Linked DNA regions of Arabidopsis thaliana. The protein of the gene in region 1 interacts with the protein of each later gene in a pairwise test. Each region holds a gene or a part of one and is shown in the gene's direction. Other genes may lie near its edges. The genes, in order: SHM1 and UBP16.

Evidence for each region.
Region 2: the proteins of SHM1 (region 1) and UBP16 interact in binary tests that used the Arabidopsis thaliana proteins (3 or more experiments, as listed by UniProt).

Annotation. Positions count from the first base shown.
Region 1 is NC_003075.7:17,829,737-17,840,438, reverse strand, and holds SHM1 (serine transhydroxymethyltransferase 1), read left to right. Parts: upstream 1-5,421; 5' UTR 5,422-5,696; coding exon 5,697-5,783; intron 5,784-5,889; coding exon 5,890-5,940; intron 5,941-6,111; coding exon 6,112-6,198; intron 6,199-6,293; coding exon 6,294-6,415; intron 6,416-6,519; coding exon 6,520-6,596; intron 6,597-6,675; coding exon 6,676-6,800; intron 6,801-6,884; coding exon 6,885-6,977; intron 6,978-7,064; coding exon 7,065-7,157; intron 7,158-7,235; coding exon 7,236-7,433; intron 7,434-7,520; coding exon 7,521-7,625; intron 7,626-7,706; coding exon 7,707-7,772; intron 7,773-7,854; coding exon 7,855-7,932; intron 7,933-8,012; coding exon 8,013-8,124; intron 8,125-8,205; coding exon 8,206-8,316; intron 8,317-8,399; coding exon 8,400-8,548; 3' UTR 8,549-8,708; downstream 8,709-10,702. Other genes in the region: AGL21 (AGAMOUS-like 21), read left to right, coding at 1,818-1,999, 3,678-3,756, 3,902-3,963, 4,088-4,187, 4,303-4,344, 4,447-4,530, 4,607-4,744; NdhM (subunit NDH-M of NAD(P)H:plastoquinone dehydrogenase complex), read left to right, coding at 8,954-9,406, 9,491-9,691; AT4G37920 (endoribonuclease E-like protein), read left to right, coding at 10,122-10,305, 10,482-10,702. UniProt on the Arabidopsis thaliana protein: Functions in the photorespiratory pathway in catalyzing the interconversion of serine and glycine. Involved in controlling cell damage caused by abiotic stress, such as high light and salt and the hypersensitive defense response of plants.
Region 2 is NC_003075.7:12,675,974-12,688,462, reverse strand, and holds UBP16 (ubiquitin-specific protease 16), read left to right. Parts: upstream 1-3,486; 5' UTR 3,487-3,934; coding exon 3,935-4,215; intron 4,216-4,639; coding exon 4,640-5,921; intron 5,922-6,026; coding exon 6,027-6,112; intron 6,113-6,239; coding exon 6,240-6,325; intron 6,326-6,430; coding exon 6,431-6,593; intron 6,594-6,690; coding exon 6,691-6,814; intron 6,815-6,900; coding exon 6,901-7,058; intron 7,059-7,466; coding exon 7,467-7,551; intron 7,552-7,647; coding exon 7,648-7,857; intron 7,858-8,319; coding exon 8,320-8,381; intron 8,382-8,480; coding exon 8,481-8,970; 3' UTR 8,971-9,263; downstream 9,264-12,489. Other genes in the region: REN1 (Rho GTPase activation protein (RhoGAP) with PH domain-containing protein), read left to right, coding at 56-190, 264-584; DIC2 (dicarboxylate carrier 2), read right to left, coding at 976-1,917; AT4G24550 (Clathrin adaptor complexes medium subunit family protein), read right to left, coding at 9,560-9,658, 9,736-9,809, 9,893-9,953, 10,041-10,128, 10,285-10,379, 10,475-10,579, 10,660-10,760, 11,073-11,199 and 4 more. UniProt on the Arabidopsis thaliana protein: Recognizes and hydrolyzes the peptide bond at the C-terminal Gly of ubiquitin. Involved in the processing of poly-ubiquitin precursors as well as that of ubiquitinated proteins.

The DNA of each region.
Region 1 (10,702 bases):
GTAAAATCGAAATGATTCGCTGATGATTGACACCTGGCGTGAATGAGACTGAATCTTTTATCTTAAGAGGACGATAATTGGGGATTTGGTCACTTGGAAGTTGGAAGCAACTTTAAGATTCTTTGTTAATAGAAAAAGAGCCAAATCTGAATTTGAGTTTGAGATTCGAGATGTGATTGGTTCGAAGCAGTCCAGCCCACGTGGTCTTAATAGATCTTTAATTATCATGTTATCTATCTGGGGCCCACCTAAATCTTATACATCAACGGTATAAAATCGAACTTGGTTATTAGGGTTTGAGCTTGGTTTAGTTCGGTTTAAAGGACATTTGCTACTTTTAAATCAAATTCAATTGATGGATACATTCGCGCTAGGGGTGGTGATTTATGGCAAGTTTGAGGGTTGGTCAAAGTTAAAGTTTAGACATTCAAAGAAACTAAAATAAACACACAAAAATAGTTAGTAATGAAGGATCAGGTGTACGGATTCTGCGGTGGAGCGTGCGAAGACTTCCATCAATTGGTGTTCTCAGGAGCTGTTCCTGCTTCTCCCACGTGTGCCTGTCACAAATGCATATTACATTTTAGATTGTATATTTGCAATATGCATAAGCTTGAAATATAAGTTACGGTTTATATATATATGGCCTTCTGAGTGAAAATATTCTATATATAAGTGAAAATTTTGTATAGCTCATTTCATTATGATATTGAACGCGAGTTGCTTTGAGTAGAAATCAAGCATTAAGCCATCGAAAGTAACAGACGTTATATAGTTATTTGATATTAAATTTCTTGCCATATTTGGAAACTTACGACAAAACAATTAATATGATGAATCTCCGCAACTCCAAGTCCCTGTCTGACACGTGTACTTGATATCGTTTAAAATCATTTATTAATTGACACAAAAATAATTTATTCATTTGTATTTCTACCGAAAGCCATATGGACTAATATATGTTGTACTAGATTAATACTGTATGTTTTTGTTCAATCCATTCTCTTACTTTTTTGGGTAAATATCTTTTGGACAGATCTAATTAATATAGTATAAGTTTTCCTATGACCATAATAAAGGGCCAGAATATTTTTAATTTTCTTTTAATCACCTCTAAAAGATACTAATTAAATTAAGTAAAGCAGCATATAAAGCAAGAGGGTTTTGTCAGAGAAACACAGTCCTGTGATGCGCCCATTCACTATTTTCACATGACATTTGAAATAAGACTTAAGAATAAATTATAAATAATGTACGGACATGTTAAAAAGGAAATATTATTGATAATGGAAATTTACCTAACTCACACTAAGTTTAATATTATTTCACTCCTTTTTATCTAAACAATTCCATTAAGTTTCCACTATCTCCCGTAATAAACAAACTATAAAAAAGAATCAGTGATTAAAGTTGTATATATGACACACATTTAAGCTATATCTATATATTCTCTTAACCTAGGAACTTTATAAGAACTTCTCTCTATTTCATTGGTTTGATAAAATCATACACACAAATACTAATTTTGGACTAGAAATTTAGTACTTTTCTATGTATTAAATCTACCCAAAAATGTCTCAAACTGAGAGGTGAGTGTGTATGTGTGTGTGTGCATATGCATATATATACTTAGTTTATTCCTCGAATAGATTGTTGACTCTTGGCTCAACCTTCCTCTCTCTCTATTTCTACCTTTCTCTTTCTCCTTATTCGTTCATCTTCATATTCCCTTCCCTTTTGGGCTTGGTAAGATCTACAAAAAAAAAAACCCTAAAAAAGAGAAGAACCAGAGGAGATTCAATTAGAGGATAAAATTGATGGGAAGAGGGAAGATTGTGATCCAAAGGATCGATGATTCAACGAGTAGACAAGTCACTTTCTCCAAACGAAGAAAGGGCCTTATCAAGAAAGCCAAAGAGCTAGCTATTCTCTGTGATGCCGAGGTCGGTCTCATCATCTTCTCTAGCACCGGAAAGCTCTATGACTTTGCAAGCTCCAGGTTCTTCTTTTAAAATTATTCATTCTGAAATCTTTATATCTTCTTGATTTTGTGGATGTACATCTACGGAGATGTTGTGTACCACTGTATGCATATAATTTTATGCTACGGTTTTGTTTATTAGAAGGCTTGGTGATATTCACTGAGATATATGTAGCTGTGGGATCTATTCAAATATAGTGGAATTTTTTCGCATCTGGCGGTCCGTAGAACATGTTACATTAATTTTCCCGTATGTACAATAAGATGTGTCTTGTATAGCCGACAAACAGTTTTCTTACAACAAAGAAAGATTAAAAATGAGGTAGAAGTTTTAAAGAAGAGTAATATTTTTGAAGCTGAAAAAATAATTTGAAGTAGTTTCTTTGCTTCATATTTGGGTGATTATATGTACCCATCATCAGTATGTTTTGAAGTACTTTCCTAACATATGTTTATGTGTATGGACATTGACTTATAACTAACTAAGGCTCATTGTTTGCATTTTCCAAATTTAGATATGTTTCAGAAATAGATGAGAAAACAAGTGTGAATGCCCAAACATCACTATTGGAAAGCTAAAAAAGAATTATAATTGGAGACCACGAGTTAGAAGATTGGTATGTAGAGGACTTAATTTCTCAAATCCAATAAACTGGAAGCTGATTTAGTTTAACCCACTAACAAAATGATCTATTTATACTCGTAAACATAAACATGTTTTTGATATTTATATATAATCATATATATTATTACTAAACGATCAGATTACTCTGTATATTTAACTTTATATCTGCAAAATCGTTATAATTGTCTATTTTCTGAGTAAGTTATTCTTTGTTAAAAGTTTGATTAATATAAAAAAAATATAGAGATAAAAAACTAATTATTAGAAAACATATATAAACATGTAATTCTAAATCATATAATATTTTGATTATATATTTTGAAAATTTATATAATTTCATATTTATCAATTAAAACAACCAAATAAAAGAGTATGGTAATGCGAATTTTTGTTTTTCCCTATTTTCCTTGAGGAATTTTATATTAGCATCAACCTTAAGCATTATTAATTCTTCACGTTTGTCTTTTGATAACATTTCTCATGTATCATAGGGTTTACGAACCTCTTGGTAAATGAAATTACTTAGCATATTTAGTCAAGTTTATATACCATTCTTAAAACTAACTAACACCATGTTATTGTTTGCTTGGATTTAAAATAAAGTGTGCCATGCTAATGCATTACATTTATGTCATTTTGTTTATAGCTTAGAACTGGATTCCTTTAAAGTTCTTGCTTATCTACACCCTAGAAATAACATTTAAGCATTTGTTTTTGTTACTTATTGAAAAAAGAAACTAACATCTACTTACTTTATATATAGTTTATCTAGTTTGTGTAACAAATTCGTATTACTGCTGAGTTCAAGATTATATACATTATGTGAAATGTATGTATGTGTACATATATAAGCGTGTGTAAATAATGTTGCCAATGCAGGAAAGTCTATATTGCACAAATTTCTAGGCTATGAGTTTTTTCTTTACGTATGAAAGCTTTTTAATGGAGTACTTGGAAAAACTTCACGATCGAAAATTAATATCTTTTACGTAATTTACTCTAAGAGATGATATGATATGAGTGAATTATATACCATGAACAAGGTATACTAATATTAAATATTTTGAATAGCATGAAGTCGGTTATTGATAGATACAACAAGAGCAAGATCGAGCAACAACAACTATTGAACCCCGCATCAGAAGTCAAGGTATACATATAGATATAGCGACAACTCTAAAGATATGTGATTATATATTGATTGATGCTTTAGCATGATGTTTGATTTTTGAAATGAGATTTTGGTTTACTGAGCTGTTCAAAGTTTGATGAGTTATTTGTGTTGTGTGTTACAGTTTTGGCAGAGAGAAGCTGCTGTTCTAAGACAAGAACTGCATGCTTTGCAAGAAAATCATCGGTATCGCCTTGAACTTTTATAACATTTTGTATTAAGAATTAGTCTTTGATCAAAATATAGAAGGCATGTAAAGGAAATGAAGAAACTTGTAGTTATGGATTGCGGTATGTTTGCTATGAAGCAGGCAAATGATGGGAGAACAGCTAAATGGTTTAAGTGTTAACGAGCTAAACAGTCTTGAGAATCAAATTGAGATAAGTTTGCGTGGAATTCGTATGAGAAAGGTACATAAATACATATACTCTACCTTCTATTATATGCTTTGGAGTGTATTACTCAAAAGATTGACTATAGAACACAACGGAAATCAATAGAACGATTGCTTTTCCGGATTCACAGGAACAACTGTTGACTCAAGAAATCCAAGAACTAAGCCAAAAGGTCACTATGATGAGATATATATATACACACACTGACACACACAAATATCCCCTACCAAAAGTTACAATTCTAATTTTGGGATTTTTGTTGATCGTGGTGCAGAGGAATCTTATTCATCAGGAAAACCTCGATTTATCTAGGAAAGTACAACGGATTCATCAAGAAAATGTGGAGCTCTACAAGAAGGTAACAAATCATGTTTTACAAAAACTCCATTTTCTTTGGAGTAAGAGCTTCGAAGTGATATGGCTTCGACTTTCAGGCTTATATGGCAAACACAAACGGGTTTACACACCGTGAAGTAGCTGTTGCGGATGATGAATCACACACTCAGATTCGGCTGCAACTAAGCCAGCCTGAACATTCCGATTATGACACTCCACCAAGAGCAAACGAATAACAGAGAGGTAAACTTTTTTAATTGATCTTGATGTTTCACAAACATGCATGCACCATTTAGGCATTTTATATATTTTATGTAACTCGTTAAAAACTTTCACAGATTGAAGTTGGAAGATACCATGATGTTGAAGAACACTCCAAAGGCCTTGGTTTGAATAAGGTTCTTGAACTGGAAACCTCTATACACCAAGCCACGTACGATAAGCAGCATGGTTCTTCTAACATAGTCATATTTTCAATCCTAAATATAATTAAAGCATATATAATTAAAATCCGGTGTTGTTATACTCATCTTGAGTATTAATATTGTACTTGTTTATAACCATAGATTCGTCAATTAATAGAGAAAAATCATATGAATTATTATCCTCAAAACTCTCTCAAATATCAATATTCTTAGATCAATAATTTGTTTAATATATATAACCATGCACTTGGTAATTCTAAAATGTTAAATAAACATTTTCTGTTAAGTTTTTTGTTTTGTTGGTTTTATTTTGTAAATTCACCATAATTCTGTTAATCTTATTCCCCCAAACTAACCGGTTTGGAAACTATATAAATTAAATTGATGTGTGATAACTGAATCGGTTATCGTTGACTGCACTGACCAGAAACCAATAAAGGTTCTGTCTTAAAGGGAAACAAATCATCGTCGTCACCAAATCATCACAATTCACAAAGGTTGGTGTAGACAGGGACCTGAGAGATAACGACAAAGAAACAACAAATATAAAATAAAAATCAGAAGAAAATATAAATAAAAAAAGAGGGAAAAAATTCGAAAATTTGCTGCAACCACCAAAAGCTCAGCCAAAAGCAGAGGCCACAATTCTCTCAAACAAGATAAACCCAATTTTGTTATTTTTGTTCTCTCTTCTCTCTCGTTCATGTTTCAAATCTGTTTCTAGGGTTTCACAAACCAGAGATAGAGAGAGGTTTAGCGAAAAATGGCGATGGCCATGGCTCTTCGAAGGCTTTCTTCTTCAATTGACAAACCCATTCGTCCTCTTATTCGATCCACTTCATGTTACATGGTAACAACCCTAAAGTTTCTTCCTTTTATCTCCGAATTTTATAATCGGATTGGAAATTTTCGATTTTTTTTTTTTTTTTTTCTGATTTCTGTTTGTTCCGTTGCAGTCTTCTTTGCCCAGTGAAGCTGTTGATGAGAAGGAAAGATCTCGTGTCACTGTGAGTTTAAGCGCCTTTTTGTATCTCTTGTTTGTTTATAGTTTTCCTTGTGGTTGAAGCAATGGTTTTGATTGTTGAAGTTCTATGTCTGTTTCAAATTGATGTATGGAGTTCTATTTTTGGTGTGACTGAATCTAATGAAACTTATGTCTTTGTAAACGTTCGTTTCAGTGGCCAAAACAGCTTAACGCACCTTTAGAGGAGGTTGATCCTGAGATTGCTGACATTATTGAGCATGAGAAAGCTAGACAATGGAAGGTTAGTTTGTCTCTGAGATTACTATCTCTTAAATCTTGTTCCTTGATTGATTATTATAAGTTAGGCTGATGTTTGTAACGCTTGTGTTATTATAGGGACTTGAACTTATTCCATCTGAGAACTTCACATCTGTGTCGGTGATGCAAGCTGTTGGGTCTGTCATGACTAACAAATACAGTGAAGGCTATCCTGGTGCCAGATACTATGGAGGAAATGAGTATGTTCAGGAATTTTCAATCTGACACATTTAGTTTCAGGACATGATTGCTTGACCAATCTCTGTAATAAGAATTGAAATCTCAAGTACCTTTTGCTTTGTAGGTATATAGACATGGCAGAAACCTTATGCCAGAAGCGCGCTCTTGAAGCTTTCCGGTTAGATCCTGAAAAGTGGGGAGGTAAATTACTACTTTCATGTATATGAGAAACAAGAAATCTGATTAGTCCTTTGATGGCTTATTTGACTGGATCTTACAGTGAATGTTCAACCTTTGTCTGGATCTCCTGCCAACTTCCATGTGTACACTGCATTGTTAAAGCCTCATGAAAGAATCATGGCACTTGATCTTCCTCATGGTGGTCATCTTTCTCATGGTTATCAGGTGCCTTCAAGTTAACTTTGTATGTCATTTCGGAACTCTCTGACTCTGATGAATAACAGTTTCTTTCTTCTTATTTCTCATCAGACTGACACCAAGAAGATATCAGCTGTGTCTATCTTCTTTGAAACAATGCCCTATAGATTGGACGAGAGCACTGGCTACATCGACTACGATCAGGTTCTTAACTCTTCTATTAAGCAATCATAGTAACTTATAACTAACCCGCTTCATAACAATACATAAGTCTTTAATTTTGATTTGCAGATGGAGAAAAGTGCTACTCTTTTCAGGCCAAAATTGATTGTTGCTGGTGCAAGTGCTTATGCTAGATTGTATGACTATGCCCGCATCAGAAAGGTAATTTCAGTCTCATATCCAACTACAGAACAGATTATTGTAATCAGTAGTGAGTTTTGATTCGAACTCTTTTCCCAGGTCTGTAACAAGCAAAAAGCTGTAATGCTAGCAGATATGGCACACATCAGTGGTTTGGTTGCTGCTAATGTAATCCCTTCACCGTTCGACTATGCTGATGTTGTAACCACCACAACTCACAAGTCACTTCGTGGACCCCGTGGAGCCATGATTTTCTTCAGAAAGGGTGTTAAGGAAATTAACAAGCAAGGGAAAGAGGTAAAAAAGAAAAAGAAGCAAAATTTGAACCAAAATGTTTTAGATTTATGTATAATCTTTCACGTCATTCATTTGTTGTCTTGAAAGGTTTTGTATGATTTTGAAGACAAGATCAACCAAGCTGTCTTCCCTGGTCTTCAAGGTGGTCCACACAACCACACTATCACAGGACTAGCTGTTGCTTTGAAACAGGTACGGTGAGGCACGGAATGGAACTAACGTTGCTTATTGGATTTGCGGTTTCTGTAACCTTCAAATGGTTTGAAAATGCAGGCAACTACTTCAGAGTACAAAGCATACCAAGAACAAGTCCTGAGTAACAGTGCAAAGTTTGCTCAGGTACTAATCCCGTGAAGGAAAGAAAAACACATATGGCGTAGTATCTACTTTGATTATATCTCTACATTGTTGTTTCGTGCAGACTCTAATGGAGAGAGGATATGAACTTGTTTCTGGTGGAACTGACAACCATCTGGTTCTAGTGAATCTAAAGCCCAAGGTCACTTGATCTTTTTTTGTATATAATCTTCTTTTATATTTCTTAGTTAAAACTCATTTTTTATTCGATTTTGTTTGCAGGGAATTGATGGATCTAGAGTTGAGAAAGTGTTGGAAGCTGTTCACATTGCATCCAACAAAAACACTGTTCCTGGAGATGTTTCTGCCATGGTTCCTGGTGGAATCAGAATGGGTAAAAATCACATTTAACCATTTTTCTTTTTGGTATTCGAATGGAGTTCTTCTTGATATCCTCTGCCATTGTTATTTTCAGGTACTCCTGCTCTCACTTCCAGAGGCTTTGTTGAGGAAGACTTTGCCAAAGTAGCTGAATACTTCGACAAAGCTGTGACAATAGCTCTCAAAGTCAAATCTGAAGCTCAAGGTTTTTACTTCTCTGATCACGATGCTATGCTTTCCGTTCTTATATACAATGATTGAACTCATTTGTTATGTTTCTAAAACCAGGAACCAAGTTGAAGGATTTCGTGTCAGCAATGGAATCCTCTTCAACCATCCAATCCGAGATTGCGAAACTGCGCCATGAAGTCGAGGAATTCGCTAAGCAGTTCCCAACAATTGGGTTTGAGAAAGAAACCATGAAGTACAAGAACTAAACTGTTTCACCCCACAAGTGTTTTCTGTTATGCTTTGAATTCCCATGGAATGTATAGATGATACATGTAAAACTCTATTTTCACGCTATGCGAAAAATAATGATCTGTTAAATTTTCTCTCTATACATCAAAAAGAAATATACTTAGACAAAAAAAACACATACAACAAAACAGTGAATTCCCTAAAGAAGATTGTCTTTAGCTCACAAGTGACTTAAGAGTAACCACAAAATACCAACAAAACGAGAAAGGGATAAATAAGAAACTAGAAGTTGGGAGAGGCTCATCCACAAGCTGTGGTCATTTCTCAACCTCATCAAATCTCTTTACAAGAATATGGTTCTGTAACCGGACAACATCTCAAAACTTGTTCTGTTTTTTTTTTTTCATTTCTTAGACAGAAAAATGGTTGCAGCATTCTCTTACACTGCCTGCACCAAGCTTTCTCTATTACATCCTTCTATGGTTGCTCAAATCCGACCAAGAACAACACAAAAGGCGTTCGTGGTGACAAATCCGGAACAAGACAGTACTCTTGAAGTACAAGAAACAGAGACACTCAAAGAAGAGCAATCAACAGAGAAGATGAAGAAGCAGCCAACACCATTGAGACCAGTGGAGAAACAGCTGAACGTGAAGAGCAAGGGTATGGGCGATTTTGGTGGTCAGTGGCTAAGCAGTGTCACACGTCACGTTAGGATCTACGCTGCTTATATTGATCCAGAGACTTGTGAGTTTGACCAGTCACAAATGGATAAACTCACTTTGATTCTTGATCCTACTGAAGAATTTGTGTGGGATGATGAAAGCTGTAACAAGGTCTATTCTTATTTCCAAGAACTCGTCGATCACTACGAGGTAACGATAACAATAAACGAACGAAACATTCATCTAAAAGTTAGACTCATTTCAAGAAGACCTTATAATATTGTTTTTGAACAGGGAGCACCATTAACGGAGTACACATTGAGATTGATAGGATCGGACGTAGAACATTACATAAGGAAGATGTTGTTCGATGGAGAAATACAATACAATATGGATGCAAGAGTTCTTAATTTCAGTATGGGAAAGCCTCGTGTACAATTCAATACCAGTAACATTGAAGGTGGTGGAGATGGTCAGCCTCAAGAGGACGCTTAGTGAAACAAACTCTATTTTATAATCATGTAATGGGAATATAAATATATTGTAGTATGCTTTTTAATTTTGTCTATCACAAAGTAACATATGTATATATCATGACATATGCTATAATTATTTTTGTAATAATCAATCTTAAGTTTCTTTGTCTTTTCTTGTTAATGTAAGGTCTTAAGGTCATGTGAATATGTAATGTCAAAGAAACTCAATTCTGGTCTTGCTCATTCATGTTCCTTACTCCTTGCCTCTTTTTAAAAAGATTTCAAACTGATGCAAAACTTGTTAGTTTTAACATTTTTACCCAAAAAGTTATATTAAGTTTTTGAATTTGTCAACGTTTACTAATTATTTACAATTAAAACCCTGTTCTTCTTATCCTCTGGTGTTTCTCGTTGTTCGTCACCAAGACGAACTTTGTGAGGGAGAAAAAATGGCGAATTTACTGGAAACATCAATCTTTTTCTCCTCTGCTGATAAATTACTGTCTTTCCCGCCTAAGAATTCTCAAACCCATCATCTCCCTTTCTCTGCTTTCATCAATGGAGGAAGAAAGATACGCAAAAGCTCAACTATCACCTTTGCTACCGACACTGTCACTTACAATGGCACTACAAGTAAGCTCATAAACCCTAAATCTCTAATCTTTCTGTCTAATTACCAATAAATTCTATTTCTTTAGATTCCAATTTGTATTAATTGTCACCATTAGATAAGCTAAACCCTTTTCATAGACTAGGATTCGTCTAGTTAGAGAAGCTTTTTTTATTGAAGATAGAAATTTTGTGTTTAGGTGCGGAAGTAAAAAGCTCTGTTGAGGATCCAATGGAAGTTGAGGTTGCTGAAGGTTACACTATGGCTCAGTTTTGTGACAAGATTATTGATCTCTTCTTGAATGAGAAACCTAAAGTTAAACAATGGAAGACGTATTTGGTTTTAAGAGATGAATGGAACAAGTACAGTGTTAATTTCTATAAGCGTTGCAGAATCCGAGCTGATACCGAAACTGATCCT
Region 2 (12,489 bases), 5.2 Mb from region 1:
ATTTTGTGTTTTCTTCCTCTGTATTTATCCTCTACAGACGGGTAACATATTGCAGGATGGGCAAGGGGCTGCAAGAGAAAATGAGACAGAGAAGCAACAGGATTCACGGAGCAAAAGCTCGCAACAAGAAACATCACGTGGCAGCTCAAAACTGGTGGGCTTGTCAAAGAGGTCTGGCACAAAGGGAGAGGTAAGTTTCATAGTGTAACCATTAAATTTCATCCAAATATCGTTCAAAGCTAGAAACTGAGTGAAATAAACAGGGAAGCACAACAACAACTTCTGCACTTTCCAAATTGACAATGAGACTCAACTTCCTCAAGGAGAGACGTAGTCAGATCGCGAACGAGCTCCAAAACATGGACAAAGGAAAAACCCTAGGGCAACCCAGTCCAACCTCGGGACAAAACCGTGTATCAGAGGAAACTGAAAAAGGATCAGGGTCGAACCAGGATCCAGACAGCAGCAAACTACAGAGCCCTCACATTCTTGACAGAGGAAGATCCGAGAACGGAGGAGACAGAGGCAGAGGATCATCTGGAGGAAACCATCCCAACACTACACCAAGGACCTTCTCCAGATGATACTCTTTATCAACAACCCCTTCCCTCAGATGTACAGCCGCCATTTAACAACACCACCTCCAGTTATGCTTATTCGTCACCCCCCAACAACCAAATAACAGATTCTTTCTTCTTTTTAGTCTCATTCTTATCTTGCTTCAGCATTTTTTTAAGACCAAATAAACTACACTCTCTTTTTTTGTTGTGTTTTAACTGTGCGTTGGATCTGTTGTTTTGGTAGTGACATTTCACATCAGTATAGAAACTAAAATTGAATTGTATTTAACAACAATGCTTGAACAAAAAATATATTGAATCCCCCTCTTCCTAGTTCCTTCTTGTGTTCACTATTTCAAAAATGAATAAATCAATATAAATAGTCGCCATCATCATCATCAATAAAAGAATGGTATCAAAAATCTCGAAGCAGCTTCCTAACTTGCTCCAACGTAACGAAGAGAACAACAGTGAAAGGACCTTGCCTACAAACTGTAGGAACAAAGCCTTTATAAAGAGCCATGGCTCCTTCCGCTTTAACCGTCTTCACCGCACAATCCCACGCGCCGTCGTACGCTCCCACCTTCATATTCATCACTCTCGTCTTTATCACATCCACCGGATTAGACGCAACCGAAGCAACAAACCCCGCCGCAAAACTCGCTACCACGTGAGTCCCTAGCCCATCATTCATCACACCATTCTCCAATATCCCTTCCTTGAACTGATCGTAAGACGCTAGCTGAGCCGCCGTCACAATCATCGCTCGGTTAATCGTCAACGCCGAGCCTCGCCACAAGCTCGTTACGCCTTCTCCCTTAACCATGCTCCTGATTGCGTCTCCTACTCCGGCGTAGTTACGACGTTGCGCTAAAGGTAACCTCCCGTCAGCTTGCATCCTAACCATCGCCACGTCAGCTGGATTTCCAACGGCGGCTCCGATTCCACCAGCGACTAGCCCTGCACCGATCTTCCTACTCAGATTCAACTTCCCTGACTCAGGATCAGTCCATTTGTTCTTAAGCACTTCGTATAGACCCATCCTGGTGGTGGAATATAACGTCTGACGGAGAAGTGTAGCGGAGACTCCTGAGAATAACGCGGCGGCGCCTTCCGATTTGACTATGTTGATTCCGAGTGAGATCGGTCCTACTTTGGGGACTGAAGAAGTCGTTTCCAGGAAAGCTGCAGGAGAAGAATTGGGGAAAGCGAGAGCTGGACGGAGGAGAGTGACGGTGGTGGTGGAAGGTGCTTCACCGTGAAGCTGAAGACGAACCTTGATTAGATCGAGAGGGTGAGTAGAGCAACCGGCGATTACAGAGGCAATCCCACCTTCAACGAAACTTTTGACTCCCATTGTTGTGAAATTGGAGAGAGAAGAGAGAATGAAATTGAGATGTTGTGAGTGAAGGAGAAGAAGAGGGAAACAAAGGTATTTATTTGTAGCGAGTTTTGTTTTGTGACGCGGTTTTGTCTGTGTTCAATGTTGACGAAACGAGTGAGAGAGTGTCTGATTATTAAAGAAAACCCTAATTAAGTCAGACCCGCCGGTTATAAAAATAGTCAAAAAGTAGGAAAACGCGTGTGTGAGTGAGACAGAGACAGCCCATTGTTTGCTTTATGGGCTTATAAGCGAGACGTGTTAATTGGGCTTTTTCCTTTATGGCCGAAAACAAAAGAAACGTCGCCTGAGAGATTCGAACTCTCGCGGGCAGAGCCCATGTACTTAGCAGGCACACGCCTTAACCACTCGGCCAAAGCGACTTGTTGCTATGAGTTAGACAAAATCATTAAAATTCTCTATTATGATTTCTCATAGTGTGTGTGTATATTGTGGATCTACTAAAAATTCTTTGTTATTATTACTTTATTTTGTGAATTAGTTTGATATAGGTAAGTACAAAGTTAACTTTATTATTTACTCAAAATTTATCAGATTAACTGATTTTATATTGTTTCCTTTGGTATATAGACGTACTATAGTTTTTAGAAAAACCATAAGATTCCTTTATATTTCATAGAGTGAAGAGATGAGATGAGATCTTGGCTGGAGAAGAAATAAGTTTCCACGAGGAGGACTCTTTTTTTTTGGTGAAGACGAGGAGGAGGACTCTTGGTTGATCCAGTCTTTACGTTAGACATCGACCCCTACATTTATTTGCCTTTCTCTATCAACATGGCAGGTAAAAATCTTCATTCAACCGAACCAACCAAAGTCTCTTCCCAATAATATTCAAGCACCATCCTTTGGGAAACTCATACATACTACAGTCTACACTCTTTCATTTTCTTTCAACGCTCAACTTAACAAATGATATAGTCTAGTTGTCAATTATATGTTTTAATTAGTGTTTTCACATCAAATTCTGGTTTGATATTTGATGACTATTTTCGGAAACATCTCAATGTCCCGCAAATACAATCGTCTATCATATATAATCCCGTACGTTGTATTCTTATAGATAGAATAATATGGCGTGATCTTTATAATATAACATATAGAATCGTGTAGATTTATTTTATTTTATTTTTATATATCGCATAAATTGCAAAATACTTATATATGTTTGTTATATATGATACCCATTTTATAGTTACTTAAAAAAAGTTAAGCGATAATATATATATATCAACTTTTTATAACAAAAAAGTATAACACATGGTAAAGAAAAATAAAAATGAAGACATGGTGTGACACGAAAATGGCACTAAATATACATATATAATAGATAGCTACAATATCCCATCATACACACTTTTTTAATTGACTAATACATAACTTACACACTTTTTTAATTGACTAATTCATAACTTTTTATCATTGTCAACATGCAAATTCATATTTCCGTTGAACTATTATTCTTATTTTGTTTTTAAAAGAAGGGCTTCCTGGTAATAAAAATATGATTTCCAAATGACGTTAGAGCAAAAAAAAAAAAAGGTTGTCTGGTCTGGTAAAATGAAAAAGCAAAGCGTCTTGGTATAGAAAAGTAATATACTGCCTCCTAATTTCTTCGTCCTTCTACCGAAGAATCTCTCCACTCTTGCCCTCTTTCGAAACCCTAAACCAGAAGCACCAGATTTTTTCAACTTTTTCCCAGAGAACAATAGAAAACCCAACTTGTGCTCTCTAGGGTTTTCTTTATTCCTTCTCATCTTTGGATTTTCTTGGGTCATCATTTTGGAAGCTTACCCACCAGCGAAAAAATTATAACTTCCATCGATTCCTGGCTTCTCTCTCTCGCTCTCTCTGCATGTGCTAAATCGCCGGACTGATCCTCACTGTCACCTCTGTTCCCGGCTTATTCGCCGGTGAAATCTATGGTTGGTGCTCAGATTTATTTCCAATTGTTTGTGCATCTGGTGGAGGATAAATGCTCCTTGTTTTGGATCTAGGGATTTCTAGTCTAGTCCTTGTGGTCTCTCTTGTTTTACCTTTGATCGGTCTCTTTGTTCGTCACAAATGGAGGGTCGCTGCCCAAAGAAGGGAGGAGATTAGAAGACTTCTTATTCATGCTTCTGAAGAGGCTGCCAGGGCTGAGCTAGAGGCCTCTGTTGAGTTCTCTTCTGTTGCCGTCTCTAATGTCTTCCATTGTCCTGTTTGCTATTGTCTTGCCACGACTCGTTGCTCTCGCTGCAAAGCCGTTCGATATTGGTATGCAAAAATTCTCTCACTTTCTCCATGTCCAAATTACGTTGTATGATCTTAGAGTTATGATTGCATCTGCTGCACTCTCTGCTGAGACGTGATGAATTGGAGTGATTAGTAGGCAAAGAATATAAGTTAGTTCTGTAACTTTAGCGATACTGGATCAGAGATTTAAGAAAATTGACTTCTTTTTCTATGTTAACAAAATTATGGGTAATTAGTTAGCTTGGGAGGAAGTTTAGTATTTGATTCATGGCTTATCTGTGAGTAACTAACTATGTGCTGCTGAGGAATTTATTTCAATTAGATAGCTTAAGAAATGTACTATAATGTCTATCAAATTTTCAACCTTTTCCCCTTAGCGCATGTGAAATTTCGTTACCTACATATCTTAGTGATAGTTGTTTCGTTTTTGTTATTTTTTTTCCAGTTCCGGGAAATGTCAAATCATTCACTGGCGGCAAGGTCACAAAGATGAATGTCATCCTGCTTCCATTGTATATGATAGTGAAGATGAGAGTGATTCCGATTTGAGATTAGGAGAAGAAAATGGACAAAATACTCCTGAGGAAACTTTACTGGTGGGTCCAGAACCAGTTACTATACCAATCGGGGAATCACTATTATCTAATCGTGCCAGATCTCCTGAAGATGGGAATGGAGATATTGCAGATAACAAAGATGACCTTATAGATAAGGAAGAAGCTGTTTCTGTTGCTGAAACATCTGGATCCTCGTTTTCTGGCTTCTCCTCCTCCCCCCGTAATGACTCTGGCGACGAGATTTCTCGTTGTGAGAGCTTCAGTTCATCTGAATCCGAGAGATCAGAGTCCCTACTTGATGCTCATGTCTCTGTAGAGCCAGAAGACACCTGTTTCAGCACCATTGAAGATGCTCCATCCAAACTGTTGTCTCCAAAATTTGTGCACTTGGTTGAATCTGTAGATAATCTCGCTAATCTGCCTAAATTAAGTGTACATAAACCTGAGGATGATGCTGGGCAGAACCAGAGCCAATCAAGGAGCTTACACTCATTAGTTACGGATAGGCATCCAGTATCAGCTGACCCATCTCTGAAGTCATCTGATTTTTGGGGTACGGCTCTTGGATCAGCCGAACGTGTGAGTGATTCTTGTGTTAAATCTAAATCTGGTAGACCTGGTAACTCCTCTCTGCATTTCTCCTTTGGCTCTGGCTCCTCTAGAGACACCTCAGCTGCTAAAGTTTCTGAGCAGAGGAGTAGCATTTTAAAAGAAGCTCCTAGGGGGACTGGTTATATATCTGATGGAGTAAACTTAAGAGAAAGAAATGCTAAAAGATTTGATGAAGCTGAAATTGCATTACCAATTTCCTCTTCTACTGATGCGCTGAGTCCTTTGGACTCTTCTAATTTGTCCCATGTGACCCTTCCGAAGTCAAAGAGCGCTAGTAGTGAAAATGGCTCTATGTTGGCCCCTTTGAAGGTTGGGGAAGTCCAACTTTTGGCATCCAAGGCCTCGAATACCAAGAAGTGTGCTGATCTTATGAAGCATTCTCCTTTAGGTGCAAAATCGGTAAGAGTTCTTGATCATCAGAAACAGAATGGTGCTGTCGTTCAGCATATAAATTCTCTACATGGAAGAAGTGGTTTAAAGGCATCAGTACTGAAAGTTGTAGACCAGTGGACCAGACCGAAGTCTGAAAATGAGATGGCAGGAAGACATGGTCATAAGGTAATCACTGAGTTCTAGGATGTTATCATCATTATGCAATACTTAGTTCCTACATTAACAAATCAGCAAAGCTATTTTTCTTATCAATCTTTTGGTGACATGCAGGGGCTCTTTCCATATGAAGTCTTTGCTAAACTGTATACATATAAAATTGAGTTCCAGCCTTGTGGCCTCATCAACGTTGGCAATAGGTAATTCCAATTTCCTCTTTTTCTAGTCGTTTTTAGCTGTTATAATCTTCAGCTTGTGGTGTAAAAAATGTAAAGTAAATGTGTAGCTTACACTCGCTGATGCAAGAATATACTCTGTTTCTTGCAGCTGCTTTGCTAATGTTGTCTTTCAATGCCTTATGTTCACTCCTCCTCTGACGACATACTTCCTCCAGCAATTTCATTCCAGAGCATGTGCGTCACTGGTTCTAAGTCTTTTTTCTTTTTGCTGCTTATTTTGGAAGGTTATTTTTTATTATCATCAATATATCAAGCCTTTAATAAGTCGTTTAACTATAGGTACAAAAAAAGAACAGTGCTTCACCTGTGGGTTTGAGAAGCTGGTCGTAAAGGCAAAAGAAGAGAAGTCTCCACTGTCCCCTAATGGCTTGCTATCTCAGCTGCAGAATATTGGAATCTTTCTTGGGAATGGCAAGGAAGAAGATGCACATGAATTCCTTAGGTGAACTGACATTTCTGAAATTGAGCAAACTTTGTTGCATATATCTTTATTATAACTGGAAGATCTGTGTTAATTTCATTTTCCTTGCAATTTGCAGGTTTGTTGTCGATACAATGCAGTCTGTGTGCATTAAGGCATCTGAATATGATATGACCAAGAGTAGCAAATTAGAAGATACAACTCTTATTGGTTTGACATTTGGGGGATACCTCCGGTCAAAGGTATCATTACCTACAACATTTGTACTTTACTCATTTTACTTTGTTTTGGAGGGAGTTGTAATCCTGGTACTTATGATCTCTGCCAGATTAAATGCATGAAATGTCAAGTAAAATCTGAGCTGCGTGAGAAAATGATGGATCTAACGGTTGAGATTGATGGAGATATTAGCACCCTGGATGATGCTTTGCGTCGATTTACAAGGACTGAGATATTGGATGGAGAGAACAAATACAGATGTGGCAGGTTGGTCAGCATTCCTTTCCATGTGTTGAACTTCGTGTGGTCCTTTGATATTTCGAATTATCTTTTCATGGTTCTGAGGATAGAGTTTTACATGAGCTTTATATATGGTTCTGAGTTGGGTATGATACCGATTGATTTAAAGTTCATGGGCAGCTGAAGTAGAGTTCATGGCCTGCCAAAGTATTCCCTTTCATATATTTCAATTACAATACCTAGATTCCACGACCAGCTGCAATAAAATTCCCTTCTAGCTTATGAAGACAGAATGTTTTTGAAGTACTATCATGGTCTTTCATTTGCGTAGTTTTAACTAATCACCTGTAACCTCTTATGTAAATCCTGGCAGTACGATTTTACATTCAATGATTGATGGGTGCTTACTCAATTTTTTTATTTTCCTGTGAGCAGCTGTAAATCCTATGAGAGAGCCAAAAAGAAGCTGAAAATAACAGAGCCTCCGAATGTCCTTACCATTGCACTAAAACGATTCCAGGTAACTTATATCTTCAATGAATACCCGGTTTGTTTCTGTTTAGTTCTATCTGGATTCTCTTGTTTCTCACAATTTTGCGACACTTGATTCTTAAAGGCAGGGAAATTCGGGAAGCTCAATAAGTTGATTAGGTTTCCAGAAACTCTAGATTTGGCTCCATATGTCAGTGGGGGAAGTGAAAAATCACATGACTACAAACTCTATGGAGTTATTGTTCACTTGGATGTAATGAATGCAGCATTTTCTGGCCATTATGTCTGCTATATTAGAAACCAAAATAAGTGGTACAAGGCTGATGATAGCACGGTAAGTTTCTCATATATTATCAATGGAATGTTGTTTGCGAATTAGTTTATAAGTAAGCTCGATTTTTTGTTCCCTTTTTACTTGAGTTTGTTATTTGATGAACTTTGGAATTAACTAGGAGTATCTTACTTCTATGACAGCATTTTAGGTTTACAATTTTCTGCTTCTTCCTTTTCAGTGATGAGTTTCTTAGTTTGAAATTTTGAATGGATAAGTATTATATAATTTTCCCCTTCCTTTTATATGCTGAAGTTGTTTTCTAGAAAGGATATTCTAGCTGGTTCCATTGGGGTTTCTATCTTTGTTGTAGTCTGAAGAGTCGTAGGATTGGTTTTGTGAGAGAAAATGTTTTGGCTTCTACTCATTGACTGGTCTCTTCTCGTCATCATCCATATATCTGCATCATACATTTGAAGAAAATTTCAATGTTTAATTCCTCTGTTGTGCATTGATTATTGTCAGGTAGTAACTTCGGATGTGGAAAGGATCTTGACAAAGGGAGCGTATATGTTGTTCTACGCAAGGTAAATAATATTATAATGCATCTCTCACACTCTTTAAAGTTGTGGATTATGCTCGATCTGGTTACTTATGATGGTATATATCGAATGAATTGACTGCAGGTGCACTCCAACGCCTCCAAGATTAGCAGTATGTACCAAAACTGAAGCATCCAATAAAAAAAGCAGAGTGCCACTACCTAAGGCTAATGAGAAAAGTACCATATCCCGGTCTGTGTCTACTTCAAGTCCTGAGTTGTCTTCCAACACGCCTGGTGGTGGTCGATCCGGCAATATACAGTCATTTTATTCTAGTTTCCAGAGGCTGCAGAAGATTTTAGAAGAAGACTCGGCGAGTGACAGTTCATCTCTCTTTGACAGCAACTCAGATGAATGCTCTTGTAGCACAGACAGTACAAGCATGGACGACTTTGCTGATTTCATTTTTGGAGATCATCAGGGACGGGCTCACGGACAGTCTGAGACTCCCTCACCAACATCATCGTCTTCCTCATCTTCTCCCCCCTTCACAAGGCGTTCGCCGCTCAGTCGTTCTTCTCCAGAAACTTACGGAACCTCAAGACATCAGTTGCCCTTGGGAGGAGAAAGGTAAGGGAAACAAGATGGTTTTTTGTCCACTTGGCCCCAACTAAGTCAAAAGTAGTAGAAGAAAGTAGATTTGATTACACGTAGATTGAGTGGTTTTATTAACAACCCGTATTTAGGCTTGGTGAAAGTGGTTAATGAGAGAAGTGGTGGTATATAGTAGTGTATAGTGGGGAAGAGAGTTTTTGCCCATGAAATTGTATCACGTAATGGAACGGAATTTACCTTTGTTAATAAGTTGTTTTGACTTTTATTATAATCAATCAATAAAGCTAATCTAATATTGTCTCATCGTTGCACCTTTATTTCTTTTGCAATTTGCTTAACTTTGAATCTTTGGATTCAGTTCAGTTCAGAAATTCAAGAAAAATCCCAAAAGATGCAATTTTGCCAGTTCCAAGAAAAGAGATCATATGATGTTTTCAGGGGCAAACAAAATAAAAGCATATAGCCATATATGTTGATACCGAAACAAGAAAGTATCCAAATAGAAGAGACAACATTCAACACAGTACTGTGAAGCAAGTGTGATCCGAAAATGAAAAGAGAAAGTACTTAGACATACAAGTGAAGGATAAACATTATCTGAAAACAGGTCATATCCTAGCCACATAAGAATTCGCCTGTGTCACATATCTCACCCAACGATATGGATTATAACTACTTGATTTCTTTGCTATCTGCAAGTATTTGACCTGCATCACCCAATTCATTAGCGTTAATGATCGAAGAGGACGGTTAATGGCAATGCAAGAATCGGCATATTACTTACCTGAAGTTTAGAAACATTGTACATAGGTATCGTGAACGTCATGCTGACTGGCCCTGCTTCCTTTGTGATATTACCTACAACGAATTGAGAATTATCAGTAATGCTTTATTTTCCCCTGAGAGAACAAACATTACAAACTTTTGTCTTAGAGGGTAACCATGAAATTCCTGTGAAAATGTAAGCTTTGCACGCAGTGTATGCTCACCCCCGCCAACAATCTGGAATGCCACAGTTAGCTCATGGAAGCAACATACAGTTCAATATATACCTAAACTAGCAAACCACGTGAGAGATTTAACACTTGCCTTTTTTAAATTCCATTCAAGCATTTTGTTGGATTCCTTGAAATCTGTCCTCTGTCCAGCAGCACCGGGTTCTAACTCAAAACTAGCCCTGTCACAATAAACATAATCGTTGATTCTATTTCTTGTGTGATTCAGAATTCGGTATATCACTATAGCTGGAATTTAAATAAATTCATCGTATTCTCTTCCTCATGTACAATATCTCAGTGATGCACTTGTACAAACCAATCAAAAAGTTATGTACCTGGAAGTATAATTTGGCAATGGCATCTGAACAGTGATTGTGTTTGCAATTATGTCTGAAGGGAACTCAGCGCGTATTTTAATAATCACTTCAGCCTAAATTTCAGCAAACAGAAAAATATTTATAGAGCAATTAAGAAATATACGCAGTTTTTATCTGACTCAGAAGACATGTACGCATGAAATTTCACCTTAAGACGTCCAGCCTCTTCAATCAAGGTATTAACATGAAAAGGAGGCTTGAACTCCTGAGTCATACGGTAATTCATTACTGGAAATTCACCATCTGGTGGAACCTGAAAACAGAACGCAAGTTAAAGACTAATACAACATGCTATTACAAGATGTTTTCTGTACTAAATATTTTGACGCTCACCAGGGACAAAGTTCTATCTGAATCGAAGCTATCCAGACGAACAGACTCATGAAAGTTACAATCATCAAGTATCACCCCTGAACCTGAAGAACTCCTATAATCTGCAACATTTCAAGTGTGATGTTACCAAGGGTTAGATTGTATTAATAGATCAATCCCCAGTTGATACTGATGTGCCTCAAAGATGCAGAAAAAATGCTACAAGAGTAACTACATATATTTACGAATTGGGTTATGACTTATGAGGGAAGTTTGTAAGTGGAACATACAGCTTAGTTGACATTTAAGCATTGTCAACGCCAAATGTCACAGAAAGAGACACCAAGATTTCAAAGAGTGAGACAAGATAGAATATGACGTTGATTCCTTCCAAATATAATAAAGATGATTTAAAGGGGTGAAACAAGAAATACCATATACTGATCTCCCTCCTCTTCCTATGTTTAGGTCTTCATTAAGAGCTAAACGGATTTCTGGATTACCAGAAAGATAGCTCTTCATTTGAATGGTGCCATCAATCTCAGAAGTCAGTATATATCCCTGTTCAGAAATCAGAAAAATAATGGATATTTTCCATGAAGAAAACTAACATTAAGATGCAACTACATGTATTAGGACATAATACAAAGCATTGATCCGCAGAAATGGGTGGTTTGATATGGCAAGAAGAGAACATGCCAAGACTTCTGTACTTTTGATATAATAAACTAGAAGCAAGTAACTACTCACGCTTGAACTAAAAGTAACACTGATTTTCTCGATGATGTCCACAAAAATTTCCTCTCTTCTCCGACCCCCAGGATCATTAGCCACAACCGATTTTGTAACTGCAGTTCCAGGCATTCTTTTGGCTCCTTGCTGCATAGCATAAATTAAAGGGGTCAGTCACATATACCAGGAGGAGGAAAATGAAAAGCAATCTTACTGTGAAAATGGCAGCAGGATCAATAGGCTGAAGGCGGGCAGGAGAAACCACAATCGGCTCATTGAATATATAAGATTTCAAAACTTCGGTAGATGTAGTTTGCACGTAACCAAAATCCTAATCAAAAGAGCACAGAGTCTTATTTAATAAAAAAAAATCAAAACTGGGAAAATAAACAAATATAGCTACTATATAGATATAAACATGCTAACAATGAGAACTACATCAAGACGAGACTTACAATAACTTCATCAAGCAACTCATACACGAGCACAAAGTTTTTCCTGAATGAATCTTCATTCAGAACACCAAGATAATCCTTAATAACACGAGCAATCCTTTGTAGAAGCTCCAAAACAAGAGAGGGTGACACGTTAACTCTCGTTGTCGCAACAAAATATAGACCAACAACCTTGACATGGAAGTAGTTCACGCCATCGACATTCTATAAGCACAAAAAATAAGTTAGATGAAATCATTACAGCTCACAACCAAACAGAAAGTATAATACCTACAAAGATAGGTGGCGCCTCTGCATTGCCATCCTCCTTCCAGAACTTGACTTTACGGAAGAATGTCTCTGTACTTCCTTTGGGTACCTCAGCCCGGTCTGTAGCAATAAAACGTTACACATCTTGAAACTTGTATTGGATCCAACCAAATCGTATAATCTCAAAACAAATAGCTTTCTTCTACTACATTACATACAGATACTCTGCCCAAACTAATTGAATAGTTTTGCTATATTTGTACAATCTGATTTGGAAATTCAGCTCAACATAATTTGTCATCGGATAAGAAATGTTGGTAGATCAAACAGATCAATGAGCTTAGAGAAGATTTCAATGGAAAATTCTCATGAAACAGTGACATAAGACTCGACTCTGAAGAGAAAAAGCAAAACA